2 linked regions of the Cricetulus griseus genome follow. The protein of the gene in region 1 purifies or fractionates together with the protein of each later gene. This does not show direct contact. Links are inferred from orthologs where the notes say so. Each region holds a gene or a part of one and is shown in the gene's direction. Other genes may lie near its edges. The genes, in order: Plekho2 and Capzb.

The links.
Region 2: the proteins of Plekho2 (region 1) and Capzb purify together in Homo sapiens (affinity purification with mass spectrometry; 3 studies listed by BioGRID and IntAct, counting the BioPlex papers as one, with this or other methods). This does not show direct contact. The link is inferred for Cricetulus griseus from reciprocal best matches to the Homo sapiens genes PLEKHO2 and CAPZB.

The regions. Positions count from the first base shown.
Region 1 is NC_048597.1:177,186,019-177,190,605, reverse strand, and holds the start of Plekho2 (pleckstrin homology domain-containing family O member 2), read left to right. Parts: upstream 1-1,669; 5' UTR 1,670-1,795; coding exon 1,796-1,807; intron 1,808-4,587.
Region 2 is NC_048595.1:14,117,188-14,121,610, reverse strand, and holds the start of Capzb (F-actin-capping protein subunit beta), read left to right. Parts: upstream 1-1,539; 5' UTR 1,540-1,554; coding exon 1,555-1,659; intron 1,660-2,691; exon of another isoform or gene 2,692-2,706; coding exon of another isoform or gene 2,707-2,796; intron 2,797-4,423. UniProt on the Homo sapiens protein: F-actin-capping proteins bind in a Ca(2+)-independent manner to the fast growing ends of actin filaments (barbed end) thereby blocking the exchange of subunits at these ends.

The DNA.
Region 1 (4,587 bases):
GGAGCCTATCCTGGCACTCGCTCTGGATACCAGGCTGGCTTTGAACTCAGAGAGATCCGCCTGCCTCTGCCTCCCGAGTGCTGGAATTAAAGTCGAGCGCCACCAACGCCCCGGCAAAAAATTATTTTATTATTTTATGTGTATGAGTGTTTTACCTGCATGTCTGTGCACTACTTACATGCCTGGTGTCTGAAGAGGCCAGAAGAGGGCCTCAGATCCCCCTGGAGCTGGAATTACAGACAGTTGTGAGCCACTACGTGGGTGCTGAGAATCAAACGTGGGTCCTCTGGAAGAGCAGAAGTGCTCCTAACCAATAAGCTATCTTCCTAGCCATCTCCACCCTTAAGGTGTAAGAACCAGTCCCAGGAATGAGCGAGCAGTGTGCTCCACCCTCTTCCATGGAGAACTGAAAAGGACCCAGGAGCCTAAAGGCCAGCAGAGGGCAGTGAAAGAGAAGCTTGGTCAGCTGCTGTAGCTGACTGAGACTTTGGCAGCCAGAGTCAAAGGAGGTCACCATTGATCCATCCCACACGCACAAAATTCTGGGTGCTGTAGCATGGGCACACCTGACCTGGAAAGCTCGTGTGTGTGTGTGTGTGTGTGTGTGTGTGTGTGTGTGTGTGTGTGTGTGGTGCTTGAGGTTTGGATGTGGCAGTCATCCTCCAGGCCTGTTTCTCCAGTATAAAACGAAAGTGCATGATAGAATTAAAAGGCTTTCTCGTAGGTCTCTTCACCCCATTCTCCAGCAATGTGGTCAGATCAGGGCTGGATGGAGTAAAGGTAACTTGAGAACCAAAGAGAGGTTAAACGAGGGAGAGATGAGCACGGCAGTTTGGGGTTTCAGAGAGCCATAAAGGACAGGAATCCAGACTCCGATTCTGGTTATAAACCCCAAACTCATGGCCCGGCTCCACCCAGAAGTTTCATAGGCTAGAAACCATTGCTACTACTCAGACTTCGGGGAGGAAAGAAGAGGAAACAGCCAGGCGGTGGTGGTGCACGTCCTTAATCCCAGCACTTGGGAGGCAGAGATAGATGTATCTCTGTGAGTTCGAGGCCAGCCTGGTCTACAGAGTGAGCTCCAGGCCAGCCGACTATTAGACAGAGAAACTGTCTCGAACGAAAAAAAACAAAACAAAACAAAAAACCCGGAAAGAGTAGGAACCTCTTTGTGCACTCATTTCTGAACTGTCCTGGCAGCTGGATCCATTCCCGCAACCCAGGCCCACTGGGTTAGACAACCTCAAAGGCATCAAGCACCCACCGCCTCCAAGGCTTGCTCTGCCAACCGCGCCCCCGCCACGCCTTCGCCCTGCCCCACCCCGCCCGCATCCCCCTCGCCTCTGCCTCTGGGCCGGAAGCCCCCTCCCCCTCCGTATCCCCCATCTCTCCAGTCGGTACCCCCCCAGGCTCTCTTTCTGCTTGGGTCCGGGAAACCTCTCCCCGCCCTCTTCCTGCTACTTCAGCTCCGCCCGGGTTCTTCCGTCCATTCCCGGAGCTCAAGACCAGCCCCTCCCAGTATCCTCCCCGGCCCCGCCCCTGCACCCCCCACCGGGCCACGCTCCTCATTGCGCAGCGGGCGGGGGCTGGGGGCCGCTGCACTCCTCCCCCCGCCCCCGGCCCCGGAAGCCCCTCCCCGGCCCCGGCCCCGCCCCCCGAAGTTTCTTGGGCCCCAGGCAGCCGGCGGGACAGAAGACAGCGAGCCGCCGCCCGGCTGCACATAGATGGAGCAAGTGAAGCCCGCGCGGCGCGGGCAGCAGTAAACGGCTGAACGGCCGGACCTCACAGACTCGCCATGGAAGAGGAGGTGAGGGCTGGGCCAGACGAAGCAGGGTGCTGGACTGGGGTCCTGCCCGCCCTACTTCGACCGGTCTCTGCACACTCTTTCCCTTCCCTTCTTTCAGGCAGAGCCTGGACCGATGGGGGATAGCCGGGGTGGAGGTCTAGTCCTGCACCTCGACAACAGCATCCTCGGTTATGTTTTGAGCTTTTCTCACCAACTGGAAACGGTGCCTGTCATGATTCCCATTGGATTGGCGGGGAGACTGAGGCTCTGTAGAGTTGGGTGACTTACTGAAAGTAGTTGGGTTGCTGTGACTGAATCCCGTTACACCCTTTCTTGGCTTTTCTTGCCTGCCATGGCCAGATCTACTCCTGAGAGGTCAGATTGCTTATGTATGCTAGGGGAGGGACGTTCTTCGGGGTTCTGGGCCACTGTCTCAAGGAACGAGACTGTAATGGAACCTGGTGGCAGGACCGAAGAAATTGCTTTTGTCTTTCTTGTGTAAATCTCTCAAGAGTCCCCACTGCTTTTGCCCTTTTCTTTTCAAAAGATGCCTTTTGAAGATGTTAGTTGAAGGGCCAGGTCGGCTAACTTTCCCAGAAGCAAAGTCTAGATCAGCAACATCCCTTGAGCCTCCTCTGCCCTCTGTTCTTGCAGGTTTCCCATTATCCAAGGGTCCAGGATACAGCCGCTACCTACTGCATGCTCATGAAATTATTAAAAAGCAGACTTTCTTATCCTTTGAAGGGTGGGGAAGAAAGATGAATCTTTTCCCCCTGGAGCCACCCTGGCCGACTGGGATGCCTTCAGTGAGCTCAGCTGCCTGTGTTCCTGTCAGTGTCCACTTGCGTATTTCCTGGAGCAGCAAGGCTCTGTTCCCTCTAGGCTAGACCCTGAGTTTGTGTGGGATGGTAGATAAGTCACTTCCCCTCTTAGTTTGTGTTTCCTCTTCTATAAAACATAGGGCCTAGCCTCCTCCCCTAGACCTAACAGTATGATTGTGGTCCCTGAACTCAGAGTGGGTACAGGTAGGGGGCAAAGTCAGGCCACTATGGTTTGCTGTGGTTTCTCTTGCTGTCACGGGTGGGGCTGCTGCCTGCCCCTCCGGTTCCCCTCCTGTAATGGCTGTGCTCTCTGCCCAAGGTCCCTCCCGTGTTCCCAGAGGATGTGGGTCAGGATTACTCCATCTCCTGATCTGCTCTGGTCCCCAGTTAAAGGAAGTTCTCCTGGGGCTTCCTGGGCTCAGCACAACCCTATGCTCCCTGTGATCCATAATCGCTAACATTGCTACTTTCTAACTCCCAGATACCAAAACCTCCTGACATACCTGGGTCATTAAAGTCTTGCCTATGTTACTTCCTCGGTGTAACCCCCAGGTCTTATCCACAGAGTCAAGGGGCTCTCTGTGCCTGTTTTCTCTTTGGTACCCCTAACTCTTGTTGCTTCCTACTTAATAGTGTTCACTTGTTTCCCTATGCCTCGGTGTTCATCCTTCTCTTAAATGCCTCTTAAATATGGTCACTCACTCAGCCCCTGACCTCATGCCACCTTTTCACCTCACTTTCACATCGCTGCTTTCTGCCCTTATGCTTTGCACTTCCTGGGTCCCAGGCACCCTGGGGACAAGCCTCCCTTGGCCTCTGTGTAGGATGTAGGATAGTGGTCCCTGTTAGGCTGAGGTTTGGAGAAGTGCTGGTTTGGGCTCTAGTATCTGTCTGTGTTTTCTGGTCCTCATTTTCCTAATTGTAAAATAATAAGGGAAGGGAAATCCAGAAATTTGATAATGTATATACAAAAACTTTGAAAACCAAAGATATCAATGGAGGTGTTGTTACTGTCCCTGGAGTAAGTTTGGAAACCTTATCTCTAGGCCTCCCTGGTTCTGCTCCATTGCCTTCCCAAAATCATGCCTTTCCCTGGCTCCAGGCTGTACACTTGCCCTGACTCTCATTGAGACAGGCATGGCAGTGCCCTGTCGAAGCACTGGTTTTATGACACTGGGCTAACCTCTTGTTCTTTCTGCTGTCCCTTTTCTGTAGTAAAAGGAATGAGAATGTTGTCTTTTTAATTTTTTTTATATGTATGTGTGTTTTGCGTGCAAACCTGTCTGTGAACCATTTGAATGCTTGGTGCTTGTGGAGGCTAGAAGAGGACTTCAGATATCCTGGAACTAGAGTTAAAGATGTTTGTGAGCAGGGGCTGGAGAAATGGCTCAGTGGTTAAGGGCACTGACTGGCTGCTCTTCCAGAGGTCCTGAGTTCAATTCCCAACAACCACATGGTGGCTCACAACAATCCGTAATGAGAACTGGTGCCCTCTTCTGGTATGGATGAAAACAAAGCATCCATATAGAAAACAAAAACAAAAACAAAAAACATCTGTCTTAGTCTCTTGCTGTGAAGAGACACTATGACAAAAGCAACTTACAAAATAAAGCTTTTTTTTTTTTTTTTTTTTTTTAAAAAAAAAAGATGTTTGTGAGCTGCCATGTAGGTGCCAGAAATCGAACCCAGGACCTCTGGAAGAGCAACCAGTGCTCTTAACTATGAACCAGCTCTCCAGAGCCACGAGAATGTAAATAAAGTCTCTGATGCCTTTTTCCCTTTACTTCCCCACATCCATCTGCCTTCTAAAAGGACTTCATACCAATCCCAGGCCCAGGCCCTCGCCCCAACAGAAGGATAGGATGGGGAAATCCCCCAGGGTAAGTGCCAAGAGTGTCCCAGCAGACAAGAGTAGGAGATAGCCCCCTACCCTCCTAAAGCTTCCCACAGGCAGGTTATGTACTGTCCTCATGAGCCTGG
Region 2 (4,423 bases), on another chromosome or scaffold:
ATAGTTTGCAGCTGTTCTTGAAGCTTTCTGCTAACACAATTCAGAATGGCCACTGGCCTCTTTGCTGTCTACGAATACATGGGGGGGGTGTCTCTGCCCTTGGGGCTGTGTGTACACTCCACTCCCATCTTTTGCTGCCTTGGACCATCCTCCCAAATGCCACCACACAGTGCTTAGCTACCTCTGCTTACCTCCTCCATCCACTCTGATGCTTTTTCTTAACTCACCTCCTGACAGCATTCAAGCTCAGCAGCGCCTTAACTCAGGGCAGGTGTACATATCCAGCTTGCAGGAGGCTCCATCTCCTGAAGCGAAATTTCACCTACAAACTCTAGGCTAGCATGAGATATTTTGCCCATAGCTGCAATCTCCATAGTCTGCATAATGCTTGGCCAATTGTTACACAATAAATACTTATGGAGTGATGACTTTCTAAGTGCCACTCCCTTCTCTGACCTCCTGTAATACTGGTCTACTGCCACTCTTGAGGGACTTAACCATTCACTGGCTGTTCCTGAAGGCTCTCACTTGTTTATGAGCTCAGAGGCCTCGGGCATAATCTTTCAGGGATGAAATTTACTGATCCCCACTCCCACCTACGACCTGATTTGATTTTAAATAGAAGGTGAGCAAGTCTGGTAGGTAGGTATTATGAGCAAGATTTGCAGTCTAGATTAACTCAACAAAGCATTTTGAAAAGTGCATTTCTAGGGCTGCGACTTCAGTTCAGTGTAAGAACATCAGCGTAGCAAGTATGAGGCTCTAGTTCAATCTTCAGTTGTGAAAACAAAGAGGGATTCCTGAGTCACTGGATGGAGCGAGGAAAAGACTCATTTGGCAAAAAGGCTGATTCTCTGCAGGTAATGTAGAAAAGTATATCTAACAGCCAGCATTTATTGAACCCAAATGTTCTATCTTTGTACCCGCGTCTTCCTCACGACCACCCTGTCTGGTAGCCAGGAAGTGCGGGCAGGGATCCTTCAGGCTTATTCTCCTGTCATCTTCTGGTACCTAAAGGCTGCCTCCCCGGTCGTGATAGCGGGTGTTCAGCCACAGGGGCGGCAGCGCCGGCGTCCCAGTGCAGGCTCCGCTAGCGCTCTAGGGGCTGGGCCCCATTCTGGCGCACCAGTTCCGGGTCCGGGTGGGGCGCGGAGGGCCGGTCCCCTCCTAGTTCAGGGCCTTCCGCATCCTCCGCCCAGGGGGGCCAGTGAACCGCTCCACCCTCAGGTACCCCGTGTCCTCCAGATGCTAGATGGCGAAGTGGGCAGCAGGAGGGTGCCACGGCCGCCTAGGTCCCTCCGGTACGCGCGAGCCCCGGGCTTACGGAACCAACGCGCCTGGCCCGCGTAGGGCCCGCCCTCCCCCATGAGAACACGCCCACTCGACCACAGGACCCACCCCCGTCCCCGCCCCCCGCGCAGAGCTCCATACTTGGCGATCGCCGCGGCCCCGCTCGCTCATTGGCCGCGAGCTGGCGGCGTGGGGGGGGTGGCTGGCGGGGAAGGAAGGTGGCGGCGGCCGGCGCGGGTGGGGGGGAGGGGGGCGCGGACCCGGATGTTCACTCTTGGGCACCCGGGGGAAGTGGAAGCGCCGGGCCCTGCTGCGGGGGGGAGAGCTACAGACGCCGGGACAGGGACCGTCGCCGCCGCCGCCACCATGGTAAAGGGACCCCCTCCACGGCCCCATCCCGGGACCCCCCTCGGGAGCTCCCGTCTCCTACCCCGCGGACCCGCCGGCTCGGGGAGGGTGGGACCCGGGGTGGGGGAGGGGTGGGGTCCGGGACCCTGGGCAGACGCCACCCCTCAGGTCCGGAGGGGTCGGCGGGAGGCTCGGGTGGTGCGTGACCCCGCCCTGGGCTCCATGTGGAGCCGGGTTCTTTCCCCGGCATGTCCAGGCTAGTCTCGAGGATCCCAGGCTAGACCTTCCTTCCCCTAGAGGCCGGGCCAGGCACCCCTCTCTCAGGCCCGCATCCCACGGCCTGAGCTAGGCTTCCCTACCTCGGCCCCAGGGCCCAGGCTAGGATGGTGCTTCTCGCTGCTGCGACCTATGCTAGGCCCCCTCCACTCAAACTCTTCTCTCCATGGCCCCAGCCTGGACCCCGACGACCCCTTTCTAGTGGCCTTAGCCTACGTTTGTTTCCTTCACCCCCATGGAATCTTCTGTCCGTGGTCCTCAAGTCTGGACTCTACTCCTGCTGTGCCCTCCACCTGCACCTCCTTGGCCCTGGCCCTAGCGATCCCCTTCCCCCAGACTTCTCACGACTTGGCTTAGTCTGCGTCAGCCCGCCGTTCTCATCCTCACCCTCCCATCTAGACTCTGCTTGCTTGGTGTCCTGCTCCCGACCTAGGTGTCTCCTCCCCTGTTCCTAGGACGCTCCTTCTTGGCAGTCCCTGGCAAGCGGGGGAGAGCCCCAGCCGGGGTGGGGGTGGTCCGGGTACTGTGCTTTCCTATACTTGAGACTTGCCCCTTTGGGGAGGCTGCTTCGCTTCGGAATGAGCGAGCGAGCAAGAGGCATAAGGGCGGCATCTGTGTGCCCGGAAGGCAGACCAGGGCATTTCCCGTGGCCGCCCTGCCTGAGAGGGGAGCAGAGTGCTGACGGTGACGAAGCCGAGTGGACAGGGATGAACGCATAATCGCTCTTGTGAGGTCGCGGCATGGGGGCTGGGGGGACACCAAGCTCAGAGACCAACATATGGCCTGGATACGATGCACCCTAGCAGGCGAAGCCTCCCTTTCCCCCTGAACTGTCAGCTTGTAAGGGTTGGAACTTCTGATTATGGAGGTGTCTCGGAACAGGTGAGCAAAACTCGCAGGCTGAGACTTCCCTCTGGTTGAACCCTGGTGTGTGTTTTGGTAATGAAGGCAGGCACACTGTGTGAGCAGCTTATTTGAGGAGCCTTAGGGGTGTCCCCCCATAACCCTGCCCCCCATCCACTTGGACACCTTCTGCAGAGCAGGTCCAGCACCTAGATGGAAGGGCCTCAAATGGTCAAGGAAGCTTGAAAAGTGGACAGTTAAGGCCATCCACCTGCTGCATGCCTCACAGCCTTGTGGTCGGCTCCCCTCCTGCTGATGATAGATGTTTGGGAGTGGACTTTGAGCTCTAGATGTTTTGAGGAACCCTGTTCCTTGTTTAATCAAGGGTGTAGCAACTGAATTAGGGTGCCTAATTCTGGTTGGCTAATAAACTTTCTATATATTGATTTAAAATGTAGGCAAGACTGTCTGTCATACTATTGTTCTTTGAAAACTGGCCTGGGGGTCTGGACTGTGGCCTTAGTCCGCATGGGGAAGGACTTGTCTAGGACAGTTTTGGGTGAGACTTTTAAAAGTCAACTGAAGTTTTCTATGTGTGCTCCGGGAGCCAAAGCCAGAGATAGTGGTGGAGTGGAGTGGAGTGGCCAGAGTCCTCTATGCTTCCCCTGTCACCATCTTCTGACAGGTGAAGAGAGGCTGGGGCATTCATTGCATCTCATTCAGAGCATTGCTCAGTTTGTGGATGGACCACTCTTGGCCAGTGGAAGCAGTGGCTTGGCGGGCTCCAGACAGTGATCTTCCTGGTAGGCTGTTGTATGTCTGATATAATGACATTGTTTAAGAAACGTAATGACCGGATGCTCAAACATGGCAAGGGCGGGCAGAGTACTTATTCCTGCAGACTGGGTGTGGATATTCCTGGTAACCGGAAATGTCATCTTGATACAGTAGTATGGTCTGCCTGGACCTGATCCTGAGCTCTTTGGGGACTGAGATTTTGGTCTGGTGTTTTTGGCCTCTGTCTGTCTGGGTTCTAGAGCAGAACCTAAGACTGAAAGATACAGCATGGAAGGCTGACACCTGTAATCAGCTGTTAAGGCGTCCAGGGCCAGCTTGGGTAACACAGTGAGAGTGAGACCCTGAGTTTCAAAAAAGAAACAAGAGATTGCTTAGGGTGTCTATGAGCTTTAGCCACTTGAGGTTTGGTGCTCATTCACTCAGCAGCTTGTTTTTCGTGTCCCCCAGGCCTCTAAGTAATTTCTGACTGCCTGTTGTCAAATCCGTACCATGCTTGAATGATCTGATGCCCTGGTGTGGGCAGTTGGATCAGTTGGCAGAGTGGAGCTATATTATAGGTAATGAACACCATGGTTTTGTTTTCAGTGGGCTTGGTGGCAGAACAAACAACTCTAGCTCCAACTTATCTGCTGAGGGAAAGAGAAGCCTGAGTTTTTTTTTTTTCTTGAGTCTGGTTCACTGTCCCTGTTAAGAATGCTTAGGCAAATGCATTCCCTTTGCAGGCAGTCTTACCACCGTCCCTAAGTGCTTTGCAATTTCAAAGCACTTTGCCTATCAGAGCTCTGGCTTCTAATTTAGGGTTATTATTCTGAGTGTTAAGACGCTGTTGCTTGATTGTAGTGCTGTAGTAGTGAAAGGCCAAGGAGGT